4 linked regions of the Drosophila melanogaster genome follow. The protein of the gene in region 1 purifies or fractionates together with the protein of each later gene. This does not show direct contact. Each region holds a gene or a part of one and is shown in the gene's direction. Other genes may lie near its edges.

The links.
Region 2: the proteins of CG2852 (region 1) and CG8993 purify together in Drosophila melanogaster (affinity purification with mass spectrometry, with the first as the bait; one large-scale study listed by BioGRID). This does not show direct contact.
Region 3: the proteins of CG2852 (region 1) and RhoGDI purify together in Drosophila melanogaster (affinity purification with mass spectrometry, with the first as the bait; one large-scale study listed by BioGRID). This does not show direct contact.
Region 4: the proteins of CG2852 (region 1) and GstO3 purify together in Drosophila melanogaster (affinity purification with mass spectrometry, with the first as the bait; one large-scale study listed by BioGRID). This does not show direct contact.

What each region holds. Positions count from the first base shown.
Region 1 is NT_033778.4:22,644,127-22,648,096, reverse strand, and holds CG2852 (uncharacterized protein), read left to right. Parts: upstream 1-1,752; 5' UTR 1,753-1,825; coding exon 1,826-1,915; intron 1,916-2,051; coding exon 2,052-2,176; intron 2,177-2,562; coding exon 2,563-2,965; 3' UTR 2,966-3,451; downstream 3,452-3,970. Other genes in the region: CG34445 (uncharacterized protein), read left to right, coding at 1-108; CG34446 (uncharacterized protein), read left to right, coding at 334-519; CG30195 (uncharacterized protein), read left to right, coding at 888-1,066, 1,122-1,404.
Region 2 is NT_037436.4:2,370,346-2,373,387, forward strand, and holds CG8993 (uncharacterized protein), read left to right. Parts: upstream 1-1,853; 5' UTR 1,854-1,936; coding exon 1,937-2,118; intron 2,119-2,180; coding exon 2,181-2,427; 3' UTR 2,428-2,531; downstream 2,532-3,042. Other genes in the region: CG1317 (uncharacterized protein), read right to left, coding at 1-1,317; mRpL23 (mitochondrial ribosomal protein L23), read right to left, coding at 2,564-2,722, 2,784-3,042.
Region 3 is NT_037436.4:19,926,766-19,933,491, forward strand, and holds RhoGDI (RhoGDI), read left to right. Parts: upstream 1-1,977; 5' UTR 1,978-2,143; intron 2,144-4,049; 5' UTR 4,050-4,065; coding exon 4,066-4,249; intron 4,250-4,322; coding exon 4,323-4,432; intron 4,433-4,497; coding exon 4,498-4,612; intron 4,613-4,925; exon of another isoform or gene 4,926-4,972; coding exon of another isoform or gene 4,973-5,077; exon of another isoform or gene 5,078-5,147; intron 5,148-5,216; coding exon 5,217-5,413; 3' UTR 5,414-6,165; downstream 6,166-6,726. Other genes in the region: Grasp65, read left to right, coding at 1-114; CG8004 (uncharacterized protein), read right to left, coding at 790-1,515, 1,589-1,672; CG46462 (uncharacterized protein), read left to right, coding at 4,973-5,077.
Region 4 is NT_037436.4:8,517,261-8,520,838, forward strand, and holds GstO3 (glutathione S transferase O3), read left to right. Parts: upstream 1-1,624; 5' UTR 1,625-1,693; coding exon 1,694-1,721; intron 1,722-2,251; coding exon 2,252-2,949; 3' UTR 2,950-3,035; downstream 3,036-3,578. Other genes in the region: CG6765 (uncharacterized protein), read left to right, coding at 56-157, 212-398; se (sepia), read left to right, coding at 3,330-3,357, 3,414-3,578.

The sequences.
Region 1 (3,970 bases):
CCGTGCAAACAAACCGATCGAAGTCATTACTGCGGCAATTGCGGCTGTTACTTTGGACGTTCCATGAAGAGGAGGCAACCACTCAAATTGAAGGCAACCACCGCCTAGGCAGCATTGTTCACATATTTATTAAAATTCTTCTAAACACTCAATTTCCCACCCACTACTGCAATACCATCGAAACAAAAATAAAGCCAAAAATATCACATTTTCTCTTTTTTGGGCCGATTTTTTTCTCTTTGCATATCATTTGAACATTTTATTCCTACAATTTCTCTTCGCTAGCCTCAGTCTGCGTTTGTTTTTAAAGCAGTCAACATCTTTCGGTGCGAAATGGCTCAGGATCCGAAACCACTTTACTTTGCCGTGGGCCCCGGCCCCAACGACATTACGTGTCCTTATTGCAGGACCAAGGCCAAGACCCGTGTGGTGCGTTCCTGGCTGCGTTGCTGCACCAAGAGGCATCACTGCGGTGCCTGCGGGGAGTACCTGGGCGTATACCGCCGTCCACAACTTTAGATACCCACTGAAGAAGGATCATCGGATCCGAATTATTATAACACAATGAACAAATGTAGATCAGTTTTGTCATTTAATTTATATTCAATAATAATAATAAATATACTGCTGTTTGAAACGAATAAAAGTTTACTATTTAATGTGTAATGCTCAAAATGTACACTATACTTTTTACACTGTACATCCAATGGCATTTGTAACGCAGAGAGAATAACTCATTTGATTTCCATGCACTAACTTAATTACCAGACCAACGCCTCGGTTAAGAGAAATCGGGAGAGTGATTCTGATTTTGATTTTCCCTCCCATGATCTCTCCAAATTTGATCCATCTTTCAGTCACCGATCGTTCTCGCTGGAACTCGCATCATGACCGTGGACGAACCGCAGATTGTGGCCATCATTGTCAGCCACAAGCCACAAGTGGGATACCTGAAGGAGGAGCCCACCTGGATCCGTTGTCCTTCGTGTGAGAAGTCTGGAACCAGTTTGGTGCAACTGGAGTTGGTCACTTGCCTGCAGAGATTTCTGGGATTCACAAAACTTTGGTTGGCCATCTGCATGAAGCTTTATAAATCTTTCGTAATGTTCACTTTATTTCAGTAAAAAATGGTCTGGCCGCCAGGACATCAATCACTATTGTTCACACTGCGGTTGCTTCATTGGAAGATTTGTGCCCATCAGCTGCATGGAACGATGCATTTCGAGATCAGCCCGTAAACAGGCGGCCGTGGATGATATGACCCTGAAGACACGACCCAAGGATTGCGCTGAAAGGGCCCAGAAATCCAGGGAGAAAGTTCTGGCCAGCAGGGAGAAGAAGAGAGCAGAGAAGGCAGCCAAGGATATGGACAAATCTCAGACGCAAATAGCAGTACACCAATAAATAAAAGCATATTTTTTTACTTACTTTTTGTGTACAGAACCGTCAATAAAACAAGAGAGAATGCTACGTGCTAATGCAAACTGGACTTCTAATCCCTAAAATATTAAAAACTATACCAATAAAGTCAACTCTTCGAACTTACTTTGTTCCTTCGTACGAAAACCTTAACTTATGCTTTCGGCGTATTAACTATTTGAATTTGAATTTTCCGCCCGAATGTGTGATCATCAGACATCGTCATCGAATGGTCACACTTAAGCATCGATATTTCGACAAAAACATAAAAAACGATGGAAAACATCGATTGGCGATGCAACAAAGTTTTCTTACATCACTAACAGAAACCGAAAATTCAGTCGTGAAATATCCATTGGCGACGTCGCTTGAGGAATAAACTGAAGCGCTGTGAATATTTAGAACGATGAAGCTGTTCTTATCCGTTTTCGTGGTAGCCCTGGTGGCCGGCGTCGTTGTTGCCGACGATAGCAAGGGTCCCAAAGTGACCGAGAAGGTGCGTGCTCCTTGGACTTTCGTCCTTACATTCTGCATACACCACGTACATACACACACAAACACACACACACATTTGCTGCGCCATAAATCAAGTGAGATGACTTGTTAATAATAAACCGCTTCCGATTGCGTAGGTTTTCTTTGACATCACCATTGGCGGCGAGCCCGCTGGTCGCATCGAGATCGGTCTGTTCGGCAAGACGGTGCCCAAGACGGTGGAGAACTTCAAGGAGCTGGCGCTGAAGCCGCAGGGCGAGGGGTGAGTAGGGTACTTGAGTACCGAAAATACCCCAACATAGTAGGGTGCCAGGTACCGCTAGGCCAGCAAAAGATGCCGCTAATCAGCGGCACTTTGTAGGTTATAGCGGGGCTCTCAGATTGAAGCAATTACGTGGCGTTTGAGCGGCCAATCGCATACATCAGTTGACAAAGCGGCACTAATGGGTTAACAAAGAACGCCAACTGTTATTAAGTCTACCATACTATAAAAGTGCAGTTCTTGGGTATTTCTTTTTTCTTCTCTGAATTTATAAGTATGCATGTTCTTTTTTGGTTAGGTTTCGAGTTCTAAACCCAGTTTTTTTTTAAATTTAAATTCCCATGCTGACAAAACTGACCATCATGCAACGCTCTTATACCCCGCAGCTACAAGGGCAGCAAGTTCCACCGCATCATCAAGGACTTCATGATCCAGGGCGGTGACTTCACCAAGGGCGACGGCACCGGCGGTCGCTCCATCTACGGCGAGCGCTTCGAGGATGAGAACTTCAAGCTGAAGCACTATGGCGCCGGCTGGCTGAGCATGGCCAACGCTGGCAAGGACACCAACGGATCGCAGTTCTTCATCACCACCAAGCAGACCAGCTGGCTGGATGGACGCCACGTCGTCTTCGGCAAGATCCTGTCGGGCATGAATGTGGTGCGCCAGATCGAGAACTCGGCCACTGATGCCCGCGACCGTCCCGTCAAGGATGTGGTCATCGCCAACAGCGGCACCCTGCCCGTTTCGGAGGCCTTCTCCGTGGCCAAGGCCGATGCCACCGACTAAAGTGTTTGGGGAGCATGTCATCCATCAGCAACATAACCGATTTGAACTAAGCATAAACGCATAATCGATTTTTCCAGACATTTGCATTTACCATAGCTCGCCATGTTTATTTACATTTCGTTCCGTAAGCAAGTAATTGTGCTCAACTAAAAACAGAAATGGCATAAATAAAGAATGATTTTTTGTGTGATAAAGAGCTGGAATCGTTCTGTGTGTCTATACCATGATGCCGGTGGTGTGCAGGTTCAATGAACCGGTTTTGGTTCCATCGCTTTCTTTTGGCTCTGACTTCCCTTAGTGGCAACCGGTTTGTGCCTTCTTCGCCAATTTGTTTGCCTTTGTATGTTGTGCCGTTCTCGATTTAGATTGCCCATGTTCTGTCTGTTTTTTCTCTTTGTTGTTGATAAACAACGCTCGGTTCGTCACATTTTTCTGATTTGCACACTTGCGACAAATTAAAGAACACACAGACGAGTTCATTTGTATATTTATTCAGTTTGTTTGGGCCTGCTGGGAACTAATTGTATATGATTGAATGAACAGGTGCATGACTGTCTCTGCAGAAGTTAATCGGGTCGATTGATACTTAAATAAGTGCCACTGGCTCATCTTTCGATCAAGTATCCTGTTCTTTATAGAAAGTTTCCTTTCACAACCCTTGGACTAAATATTGATTACTATATACATACCATACTATACTATCCCATGTATATAGAGGTGAAAGCCCGAAACCAGCCCTCTAGTAACTAATTATATATAGCATAATTTTTCAGATCTCAGACGCTGATGAATTGGCAACTTTTACAATTAGCGAATGCACTCAAATGCAACAACATTGTCTAGAAATGCATATGTCTGCCAATCCTTAGACTTCACGTCCCCCAATCTTTTGTTTAGAGCGAGAGAAACCAAGAACTGAAGAGACGATCTCATATCGTTCAAATGTGGGGAATCGTATATGTACATATATATGAAGACGTACATATGTGCAATTGTACCCCTTTC
Region 2 (3,042 bases), on another chromosome or scaffold:
CGGTCGCAGCACCTCGCGCAACAACGATACAAACGCAGCGAAGTAGTAAACGTATACCATGCCAAACATCCAGTGGACAAAAAGTGAGGTGCCCGGAGCAGCCTTAAAACTCTCTTTACGATCCTTGAGGCTGGCATCTAGTAGGGGCAACGAACAAATGTCCAGCCACCAGCCGCAAATCAGCGGGAGTACTCCGATCTCCAACACCGACAGCAGCGACACCTTGACCACAATATAGCACAATCCAATGAACCAGCAGACTCTCCGCAGGCGGAAAACTCTGGAGAAGAAGTGCAGCACCACCAGGGTCAATCCAATGCAGCAGTAACCAAATAGCGTGGTAATCAGGCCGTGAAAGTGTAGCAGTGGTTTCTCGGGCTGCAAAAGATCCATGGAGCTCAGAATGAAGTTGCCCACGCAGTAGGGACAAAAGGCGAAGGTGAAGATGAACATGGTGTTCAGTGAGATGATCCAGAAGACGTGCTCCAGAAAAACTAGCGAGCCATCGAGTCCGAGCAGGCGTTCCCAGGTAAGCTCCTCGGCAGCCCGATCCCACTCCATGGGATTCCAATTCTGCTCATCGGCATCGGCGTCCACGACGGGAGCTGCAGCCGCTGGTGCGGCATCCTGGGCCTGGGCATCCTGCCCATCGTTGTCCGCTGGAGCCGGCGCTTCATTGTCGTCGGCATTGTTGTTGTCGTCCTGAGGCTGTGGAGCTGCCTCGGCGGCGGGATCAGGCGCAGGATTAGCAGCCGCTGCCTGTAGAGGGGCATCGTCCCGCTCCAGCCAATCGGGTCCGCCGCCATGCAGGATCTGCTCGCGCAGCCAGACCAATCCTATGAAGGACAAAAGTGTGCATGTGACCACAAAACAGCCCCGAAAGGCATCCGATGCCAGGTTTTCAACGGAGAAGATGTCAAAGGGCAGCGTGAGAATCATATCGAAGGAGCTCGCCCGGAAGAGGTACCGATAGGTCCTGTAGGCAGACAGCGGCACCACTCCGAACCAGGCCAAACCGACCAGGGTGTAATGAAGCCAGCAGCGAGCGCCCTCCAAAACGGCGGACATCAGTCCCACAAGGACATCCTTTATCGGCAGGACTCGCGGCATATCCGGAGCATAGATGGGCTGAAAGCTGAAGCTGTAGCTGCACAGCTCGCAGTATTCCTTGTGCGAGTAGCGCATCCATAACATCAGGCAGTCCTGATGAATGTACTTGATCGATCCAGTGCAGATGCACGGGTAGAAAAGAGGCCTATCCGGCTGTGCCTCGCATCTGCACACGCGGCAAATGTCGCCCTGCGACAGGTCGTCCATACTGATAACTTTTTCCCGGATCCTGGGTCTTCAGTTTGACTGAATTACTAAAGTTCCACTGGTCATTTGCGAAATTCGCTGGACAATTTCCGTAATTGACCCGAGGGTACGGGGGTTTTAAGACGATTATACCCGCCTTTTATGTGCGCCAATTAACCTTTCGATGATTACGGACCGTAATGCGATTGTAACACTTGAATTTTAACCGAAAAGTTGGGATATTATTACGACAAAACAAAACAAGACTACTTCTCAAAAAAAGGAGAGCCAATGTGTGCACACCATGAAATTGCTGATTATTTTCTCAACGGAGATGCCAACTAGTTCGATAGATTGAGAGAACGAAATATCGTTATTCATTTTTTAATCATAAATTGAAAATTAAAAAAGATTACATAGTTATGGTTAATAAATATAAGTTTTTAACTTAAATAATATAAAACAAAATTATCATGACCGGGAAGTAACAGTTAATGAAACAGTGTGTGCACACATCATTAGGCAATACCAATCCATCTGGCAACCCCACCACACTCATTGTTGTTGTTCTGATTCTCTTGTCATTATTTTGCAATCAATCGCTGAACTTTTTGCACTGAGAAATTGTAGAAAATAAGCCATGCAGCGACAGATTATTAACATTCTGGGACAGACGACGCGTCGCCTGGCTAGCGGCCAGCAAATTCGCATGCTGTCAGTTTCTGCGCCGCGACAGGAGATCTTCAAAGTCCAGAGCGCCGAGGACTTTGACAAGAAAGTAAAGAACAGCCAGCAGCCCGTGATTGTGGACTTCTTCGCAACGTAATTTTTATATTTTCAATTTGAGGACATGGCAAATTAATGTTTATATTGTAATCCACCAGCTGGTGCAATCCCTGCAAGCTGCTAACCCCGCGCATCGAGAGTATTGTGGGCGAACAGGCCGGTTCCATCAAGCTGGCCAAGGTGGACATAGATGAGCACAGCGAACTGGCTCTGGACTACGATGTGGCCGCCGTGCCCGTGCTAGTGGTGCTGCAGAACGGCAAGGAGGTGCAGCGCATGGTGGGACTCCAGGACGAGGACAAAATCCGGGCCTGGGTTGCCGCCGCCGTCAAACAGGCCAAGTAATAATTGAGAAATCCCAAAAAAAAAGTGGAGGTTGACCTCCTCGCAAATAAAGCTGAGCTTTAGGTTAATTCGGACTTTCGAAATAAATGTTTATTTACCCGTTGAAACGAAAAGTACTACGATTACACACTAAAAACTAAATGGAAAACCAGCCCGGCGTGCCGGGTCGCTTCTTGTTCCTGTCCAGAAATCTGCGGAAACCGGCTTTCGATTCATCCAGCGACTTTTCCTCCTTGGCCTGCTTCTCAGCCTTTTCGGAAAAGAAGTCGGGGAAGACAAAGGACTCCTCCCTGGGCTGGAATACACAAATATCATTGGAAATATCCATTGAATCAGGGGCTTGTAGTGGGCCATACCAATGTTACATAAGCCAGCTTCACGTCGTCTTTTTTGGTGATGTAGCCGTAGGTCTGATCCTTCTTGGTCTCGCCCATGGCAATCCGAGTACGCACATCCACCACCGGCAGCTTGTAGATCTTCTCCAGATAGTTACGCACATCGTACTTGGTCATTTCCATGGACACCGAAAAAGTGACCACATTGGGTGGCTGTTCCTCCGTGGGTCGGATTAGCTTCATCCAGAAGTTGGGAAGGAAAACGCGAAGCTGCGGATTG
Region 3 (6,726 bases), on another chromosome or scaffold:
CCGCCGCAGATGGCCCATGTGTTTGCACCACCAGTACCACCGCAAGCTGGCGCTGCTCCGGCGGCAGGCAACGACGAACTATCCGGACCGGCAGTGAATCAGGCTGGAAACTAAGACTTCTACTGGGCCAACTGCTAATGGACCAACTGCTAAACCTGGACAAATTGTTAAGCTTTTATTTTCGAGAATCATCTGATTGTTTTGTATGATTGCGTTAGCAAATATCACAAGTGGCGCGATTGGTTCGGCCATCTGCATGCAAAGATGTGTACATTGCATTCATAATAATAATCTAAATTAATTATAACAATAAATCAATAAAACTATATGTGTATTTAAGGTCTTTACATAAACGAGAGTTCAATTTCTTCAAAAGTATGAAAAGGAAAAGGCAGCAATGTTCAAAAATCAAGACTATTTTTTTTTTTGGTTTGCTAAGAAAACAATTTATTTGATGTATTATAGCAAATACTTACACAATTTTATTAGCAGAAAAGTTATTTGCTGCAAAATAAATGAAGTAAAGATCGTTAGAAGTATTTTAGAATTCCATTTAAACAAACTTGCAGATTGAGTCACTTGTGCAAATGATATTCACATGGATTTTTGGACATTAATGGCAGCAAAATCACTAGAACAACTTTTTTTTTTAAATGCTAGTAGCAAAATAATTGTGACTTACGGCGACGATTTGTTTTAAGGGCATTTAGAATTGCATATATAAGCGGTTAAAAAGAAAGGACAAGAGCAACTTAATTGATAAGCATTTAAGGCAACGACTACGTATAACTAATTTGGTAGGCACCTCGTCTGAAAGTACTTCTCATCGACGAAGCGACAGAACTCGACCAAGTGCTGGAACTTCTGCACCGTTTGGGCCAGCGCCATGTTCGGCAGCGTGGTGGTCAGAATGCTGAAGAGGTGGCCGAAGGCGATGGCGTCCAGTTCGCAGGGCTGATCGCCGTAGAAGAATGGCGTTTCCGGCGACTCTTTCAGCTTGTATTCGAGCGTCTCACAGCACTTGGCCACCTTGTCAATGACGCTATCGATGTCCAGGTCGTCCCACTGATAGACCTTCAACAGACGCAGCGCGTTCCGCCGCTTTCCATAGTTCTGCATGTGATTGAGGGGCCAGGGAAAAACGACTCCGTTCCTGGGCGCTGTGACCTCTTTGTAGACGCGTTCGTTCTTGAAGCTAATGTACAGCTCAGCCATGGTGAAGATGTTCTCCACCAGCGACACATAGGTGCGCATGTCGGCCTTCTCGTCCTCGTCCTGCCAGCTGCCAATGGCCAGTTCCTTCTGCTCCACAAAGTTCACGATCGGCTCGAATTCGGCAAAGATGAATGCTCCTGCGCGGATGAAGGGCAACTTGGTCATCCTGCCGCCCGGCGACATGTGCTCCGCGTTGGCACAGGACCGAATCAAAAAGGGGAGGTTGCACATCTTCAGGTAAGCCTTCACAGCAAGGCAACTGGCGTTTTCCGGCAGTAGGATCTGTTCCGCTTCATACGGCTGTTTTTTTTAATGCACATTAATGAAAGGTTAATGTTAGTGAAGATTCTGGACCTATAAACCAGGACCTTACCTGGTAGAGGGTGGCGTCTTCGGGCCAGGGCTCGGCGGACAATTTGTCGGCCGTTATTAGCTGGCTCAGGTACTGGGATGTCATTGTAAATTAACGGAGTAAATTGTGTTTTTCAACTTGCACACCGAAATCGCCGATGAAGTAACAAGCAGCTGTTTGTCGGCGTTGCCAGACTGTTGCAGACAATGACCAAACAGCGATTCTTATTAGAAATTGCATTTCAGCAAGATTCGTTAAACTAATTAATAATTTCTTTTTAAACCCATACTTACAAAGTATAAAATAGATTTAGGGGAAGCTGTTTCAAAACTAAAAACTTTTTCGAAAAGCAAGTATTTTTGGACAGCAGTGTGAACGGATGACTTCTTCAAGTCCATCTCGCGTTTTGGTATTCTGTCCACCAAAGCATACGTTCACACTTGTAATTCTTATTTTATATTATTTGCTTTGTTTAAAAGTTAGTTATCAAAAGTTGTTAAAAATATAACATACAGTTACTTTTCAGTGATTAATTTTCAGAGATCGTACTATTTGATTAATTTCGCATATTAAAAGGTGAGTGCGCGTCGTTGCCAACTTGCAACTGTGTGTGTGTGTGAGTGCGGTGCCTTCCAATGCATTTTACATAAAAAAAATATTTATAATATTATTATATTAATTTAATACAAGCTGGCATTGATAGCAAATGTATGTAGTTGGGTGACTGCAGGCCAAGAACCACTCCCAAAAATTCTACTTGAAAATCAGTGACGATTCATGTGCCGGCCTCAGTGTGAGTGTGTGTGTGTGTGAGCTGGTGTGTGTGATTCATTCGTCTGGGGTTTTAACATTCTTCGTGCACATTTCTTTATCAAAAAAAGAGAAGAAAAAAAAGTGGCATGGTTCGTACTTTTCCCTGAATTATCCCCACACTTTGTCTTTGGCGGGGGGTCCTCTCTCTCTCTCTCTCTCTCTCTCTCTCTGGCAAGCCCTCTCGCTTGCACTTCCTTCGACGCTGGCACATTTGTTTGGAATTCAAATTTTCAGTTCGGTCAGATTGTTCTTGAAATTACCTTTTCTCACCCATCCTTAATTGTTGCGATTGTATTTATTGGCCCAAACTTGCGTTGTTAGTCCGAAAATTTTTTGTTTATTATTTTTTGCCATTCCCACACAAGCACGGAGAGAAATTGTGAGTGCTTTTCATATGCCTAATTTGGAAATATTACGATGAGATCTAAAAACCGATACTAAGATTCAAACTATTGATTTTTAAGCACCAATAATATTTACATTTACAAGTAAAAAACAGATAGATAGATAGATAAATATTTATTAGCTTTGAGAATTTCAAAATATGTTTTGTATAAAATTGAGAAATACATCATTATTACTACTGTATGTACACATGGGCCTGCAAAATCGTTTTGTATAGACACAATTTTATTACCTCAACAACAACTCGATGTCAAGTAATAACAATTCAATTTCATGTATTTTTTTTGCCCGGGTACACTGCATATGTATGTACATATATATAAAGCCAAATCTGGAGAATCGAGAATTATTATTGGCCCAACAACATTCGTTGAAAATGGACAGAGAGCTGGCGACGTGTATTTAGATAGTGGAAAACAAAGCAAGATAACAATAAAGCCATTTTCCGGGGGGCGGTGGGTTTGGCTTTTTGTCGCCAGTTCCCAGTTCTGGTCAATATTATTCAATGCCGATATCCGCTCTCTCTCCCTCCGTCGAGTTCGCCTGCCTTATCTAACTGCCGCTCCGTATTTGGTTGAACCTTTTTTTTTACTTTGCGAGCGGACCAGCTGCAGGTCGAGCGCCCCTCTCTGCCCCGCCCCCTAGACAGAGAACACGTCAGTTCATCAATGCGTTAATAATTGAAATTTAATCAATATTATTGAACGGGCTTATGAAGTGGCTACATTTGTTCGCAACGGAGGCACTCGTGTTGCCAAAAAAGTAAATAAACCCGCTTTATGGCCAGCGAATGATAACGTAATCAGTAGCGAAGTATATGGAATATGTTTGCGATCGTTGTTATTTGAATTTCAATATTTAACATTGTAATTTGTAGAAACAAATGTACTAACTACTCAACTATATATTTAGATGGCAGGTTTTTTTTTCGAATTTCTTCCCTGCATTGTTAAGTTATGAGCTCAACTCTCCTTAGGGCGACAATTTTCAGAAGAAAAAACACTCTTCCTACATTTTTTGAATGAGGAATACTTTCATACACTCCGATACGATGTAGCAGATATGGTGGCGCACATGCCATTAAAATGGAGGCATATACATATGTGTATAAAACAACATCATTATCGTCAAAATGTTACTCACACTACTAAAAATATGCCTATGACCCACAAGCTTCACCCAGAGAAACCGACGCATACTAAGCAAAATCCGAAGCAATATTTAAATGTAATTGATTGATAAACAAACAATTGCCTTTGGACAGTTCTAGGTTAGCAATCATGGCCGAAACAGAGACGAAGCACCATCCCGAGCACCACGACGACGATGTCCACGATGCCAACTACCAGGCGCCGCCGGAGAAGACCATCGAGGAAATAATGGCCGCCGATCAGGAGGATGAGAGCTTGCGGCGCTACAAGGAGGCGCTCCTGGGTGCCGCCCAGACCGAGAAAATTATTGTTGGTAAGGGGCGGTTAACTTGGCCTCTGAAAGTGGAGGGTGCAGAATATACTAAAGCAATAACATTTTTACCCAGAACCCAATGATCCCCGAAAAGTTATTGTAAAGAAACTGGCCCTCGTTGTCGAAGGACGCGACGACATGGAATTGGATCTTACCGGTGACCTTAGTCAGCTGAAAAAGCAGGTAAATATCATTAACCATCATCATCCATTCGACTACTTTTGTTAATCAAAACCCTATTGCGACAGCTTTTTGTGATCAAAGAAGGTGTTCAGTACAAGGTGCGCATTGATTTTATTGTGCAGCGTGAAATAGTCCATGGCCTTAAGTATGTTCAAAAGACTTCTCGCTTGGGTGTTAATGGTGAGTATTTAAACATGACATTTGTATTTTTAATTGGCAGAATATAGAATAGATTTACACTCTCAATTCTATCAACATTATATGTCTTTACTTAGGGCAAAGCAATTATATTTCTTTTTTGTCCTACCCTAATTTTCTATTAATTGATTTATTTATTTACTGACCTAGTGCCCTAGTATTGTAAGAATAAAATTAAATTAAAACCGGGTCAAAAGATACTTGTTTTTAGTTATTTTCCATACGTTACACTATGCGAGCACTTCTAGGTCTTCAATTTTCCGTGCTGACGCGAAATCGTTAGTATTACACCTCAGTTTTTGATTGACTTTTGTGCGGGCTAGTCGAGTTTTGTTTCTAGCAATGGGTAAAAGCTGGTTCAATGGCACAACCATACTGGTGGGATTTTGCAGTGCTGCCTATATCCTTTTTTTCACAATTGCCATACTAACTTTAGTCATGTGTTGAGAATAACTTGTATTCCATTATCTCCAATGCCAAACCCTAATTTCGGAATGTATAATTTTTTAAGTTGTGGGTAAGCTGGTGCAGCCCATCCGCAAATGTGTATCCTTACTAAACTGACTGTTTTCGCATTACTCCATAGTTGACAAGATGAAGCATATGGTTGGCTCCTATCCGCCGAAGAAGGAGATTCAGTTCTATTTGACGCCCGCCGAGGAGGCACCTTCAGGCACATTCTCCCGCGGCACCTACTCGGTCAGTTCGGTCTTCACGGATGACGACAAGCACATACACCTGGAGTGGGACTGGACCTTTGAGATCAAAAAGGACTGGGCCTAATTGGCACACCGAACAGCACACAACAAACACACACGACACACAACTTACAACATACATCATACGCTTTTTGTTTTCCCTCAAACATGCCTTGTAAATGAGTTTAGTTTTGTTCCAAAAGTGTAAGCGAATTTTTCCAAAAGTGTAATTGATCGTCAAGTATTTTTGTTAACGGTATTAAATTTTAAATATTTTTGTAACTAAAGTGTAATGTAAAGCCATGATAAGTATTTTTGATACCCTATTTGCAATTGGAATGTGTGCAGATGAAGAGCATTTTTCGCCTAAGTCCTCCTCAATGAGAGTCAAGTCAAAACCAAGTCAAGTCACTAGGCCAGTCAGTCAGTCAGTCAGCCAACCAGTCAGTCAGACAGTCAGTCGTTTGGTTCTTAATGCCATTGCCTATGTTTAACATACATTTTCAAACAGATTAACAATTGAGTAATTAACTTTAAGAAAGTTGTTTGCATTTCGCTGTGTATTTCAAATTGAAGAATGGAATAGTTTATTGTAAGAACAAGTCGCCTCAAAACTAAAAAGAAACCGATTAAAATCGTGCAACACGAACTGTTAAATGCAACTAAAGCTGATGCTTTATTATGCATTTGAAGTTTGTGCAACATGGAGTTACTTAAATCCACATTATTCTAACTATATATCTCTGTGTATTTTTTGTGTACAACATACCATATATGCGAAAGCTGATTGAATGCAACCGAAGAGCAATAAAGAATAAAGGATACATATTTTAAAATAAATGCCTAAGTGAGCGAATTCTTTTTCCATGATATGGGTATCCCATAAATTATAGTGGCAGTGTGTGCACAGATTTCTCCGTAGCCAAAGATAAGTTGACTTCACACTTTATAATGCTTATCAGCTTACATTGCCAAGGGGCAAACGTCATAAATTGTGGCCAGCAGAGCGAGTATTACTCATCCGCCCTGTGAACGGTCACCAAATATTTTTCAAGGTGTACAAAAGAGAGAATTTGTGAAACACACTTCTCTGTTTACATTCGCAACCAGCAACAAGTGGCCAGCCTCTTGTTGCGCCAGACATTAGCAGCATGTTGCCCAACAATCGCCGCTTCAGAACAGAAAATAATAATAACCGCATTTTATATTCCAACGCACATTTGTCTTCAGAGTCGCGAAAACCTGCATGAATAAGCAAGTTACTTTTTCGGAAATTGCTATAGTTGCCAGCAGAAAAATGGTGTAATTTAAGAAAAACAAATCATTTGTGTTTTCGGTAAATGGCCTGGGGCATTCGTATGTTTTTTGGGGTCCTTTAAGGGTGCGATTTTCCAGGAT
Region 4 (3,578 bases), on another chromosome or scaffold:
AAGTGTTTGGAGTTATAGAAGCAAAATATATACTAACTCCCTTTCCCATGTGCAGATCCTTTGATACGCCGGCGGAGTGGGTGCGCCACATGAACAGCCAGCACACGGAGATCGAGTTGGCCATGTTCAACAGCAAGAAGGATGGCGAGCAGAAGGGGTGTGTGTCCTAAGGGCTAGCAAAAGCACACTGATGAACTCTGTTCACTTGCAGCCAGCAGCCACCGCCACCGCCGGCGACCAGCAGCTCTTCCACAGTGTCCAACAGCCAAATGCAGCCAAAGTATCCCAGCTCCACCGCCACCAGATCGACGCACTCCCTCATGCTGCACAAGATGAGCAACAGCGATGCAGTGGCCACAACCACATCTCCTGGAGCATCCACCTCACCGAATGGCTAAGGCCAGCCATAGGGATCAACTTCAAAGAACCATTGGACCATTGGCGAATGAAGCTGAAGGATTCGAAACCGGATGCCCATGGATAAATTTGAAAACAGCCATATTCTTCATTCATTTTCAAAAATCTCAAGTCGTTCCAATAATCAAAAGTGAGATGGATGTTTATATGCAACAGCAAGAACCGTGATCAAAATGCAACCAGTTTGCATATTTTATAGAGCAACAAACAAAATACAAATTGCGAACAAAAAAAAATTAACGAAACTATAAACGAAACTTAGAATGGAAATCGTCAGGCAACGATGCAAAACAAGACAAAGCAAGAAATTCAGAAACGAAAGCAAAGCAACATTTAACTCCAGTGTGTAGAATTTTTTTAAGTGTACGTATTTACTTAGTTTTAGCTATTTATCCCATGTATTTACCGTAACAACAACGCGCAATTGATTCGGGAAAAAAAACGATACAGTTTAATCATTAAATTTTAATGTTTACCATTTGCGGACATTTTTAAAATGAATTAAAAACTAAAAATTAATCATCCACTTGAGTTTTCAAAAGGATGCATCAAAAGAAATCCCATTTGTAGGACCAAAAGCAGCGAAAGGATCTTTTTACATTTTGATAAACAATTAATTCCAGCAGCAAGTGTAGTTGTCATTATTTATTACTTTCCAATTTGGTTTTTCGAATGCAATTACTGATAACAACTATTTATCGCGACTCAATGATGTCAGCAACTCTGTTGTATATGTATTAATACTTTTTTGTATTTTTTGTAAGGCATGAACGGAAATTTCGAGAACTTTTTTGTACATAGATTAAGTTTGATTTCGAAAGTCCGCCGATCGAAACTTTTTACGAAAAGTTCATAAACTTAAAACTCTAAATGTACGTAGTAGTTCCGAGGTTCAATTAAAAACAAAAATAAAGCTCCCCCCAAACCATGTAAAAACAAAATATATCTATATTTACAAACAGGCGTGATTATTAACAAACTAAGTAGATGTACTATGTATAATGCGGAGGAAATGATTGTCTCTTCCCACAAAACAAATCGCAAATGTAGTAAAGCGTTTTAAATCGAAATAAACGTCTGCGATGAGAAATCGTTTTTAAAAGCTAACGAAAACTAAGAGTCACGTCGCAAAAAGCTCGATTATTCTTATTCGCGTTAAAACACAAACAAAAAACTTTATATAAACAGAGCGCCGTCGAAGAGAAAACTCAGTTCGCATTTCACCGTCGACATTTCAACAGTTAAGCGAATTTGTTCAGTTCTGCAATTAAACAAAATGAGTTCTGGTAAACATTTGGCCAAAGGTAAGAGAGCAAGCAAAACCAGTTGTCGCCGCCGCCAAGAGAAACGCCCATGTCATTAGAGTGTTTATAGTATTATTTATAAAACAAGTTCTCCAACATTCAGCGTAATTATCGAATAACGATTTTTATATTTCATAATGTTAAAGAATATTGGCATGAATAACTGGGATTTTTTGGTTAAAAAGTTAGAAAGGTATATTATTTGGTAAATTTCAATACGATCTTTATTCTTTTACAATTGTAGGTAATGCATTAAATTAATTATTTGATTTGTAAAATTTACTTACATTTTTAGCTATAGCTTTCACCCCGATATCAGATAACCCATAATATTTACACTCTAAAAGATAACGTAGCTACAAAATTTGAGCTTTATCACGACTGGGCCCTATCAACATTAACTTAAGTGCAATGACTTGCTAAACAAATAATAATACAGGGGTGGATTTTAGGGTTCCACAAGTGACTCATGAAGTTATTGATTTATTTGTATAACCTAAATTTAACTGGTAAATAAATTCTATCTTTAGGTTCCCCCAAGCCTGTACTCCCTGACGATGGAGTCCTTCGCCTGTACTCCATGAGGTTCTGTCCCTACGCTCAGCGGGCTCATCTCGTCCTGAACGCCAAGAATGTGCCCTATCACAGTGTCTACATCAATCTCACCGAGAAACCAGAGTGGCTGGTGGAAGTGAGTCCGTTGCTTAAGGTGCCTGCCCTGCAGCTGGTGGCGGAGAAGGGTGAGCCCTCGCTCATCGAGTCGCTGATTATTGCCGAGTATCTGGACGATAAGTACCCGGAGAATCCGTTGCTGCCCAAGGACCCATTGAAGCGGGCACAGGACAAGATTCTGCTGGAACGTTTCAGCAGCATCACCAGTGCCTTCATAAACATCCTTGTGCAGGGCACCGGTCTGGAGGATTACTGGACGGCACTTGATATCTTTGAGGAGGAGTTGACCAAGCGGGGCACCCCATATTTTGGCGGCAACAAGCCGGGATTCGTGGACTACATGATCTGGCCCTGGTTCGAACGCCTCTCTGTAATCGAGTTGAAGTTGCAGAAGGAGTACAACTTCAACGAGAGTCGTTTCCCGAAGATCACCAAGTGGATTGCCCTCCTGAAGGCGGACTCGGTGGTGCAGTCCTTCTATGCCACTCCCGAGCAGCACAACGAGTTCTGGCGCACCCGCAAGGCCGGCAATGCAAACTACGATCTGCTGGCTTAGATCGGTACTGAAAATGAAACTATTATATAACAAAGGAGATTTAATAATGTTCTAAAAACAATAAAAACTAAAATATTTTATGTGACAAAGAAATGAATTAAGGCTAGAAAGGCAAGAATTCCGTTCCAGATTCACAGAACGTGGTTCGAAAAACTTAGTTCTTAAAAAGTTTTGTTTTAAACAAATATTTTGGAGCAATATGCAGGTTGCAAGGGGGCTTCACTGTATCCACATGGCTTGGTATGTGTGTCAGCCGCAAGCCACCAAGTTCAGCCGCGTAAGCGAAGCCAACCGGCGAAGGGCAGTGAGCTGCACTTTATAAATCACTCGAATGACAATCGCTATCACCACTTGCATCTCTGGACCCGAGCACGCACATCATGAGTAACGGCAGGCATTTGGCAAAAGGTGGGTAGAGCCAGGAAACCAGGATAATCATAATTGATAATAAATGCGCCCACTAGGCTCACCCATGCCGGATGTTCCCGAAGATGGTATCCTTCGCCTGTACTCGATGCGCTTCTGCCCATTTGCCCAACGGGTGCATCTGGTCCTGGACGCCAAGCAGATCCCGTATCACAGCATCTACATTAATCTCACAGACAAGCCGGAGTGGCTGCTGGAGAAGA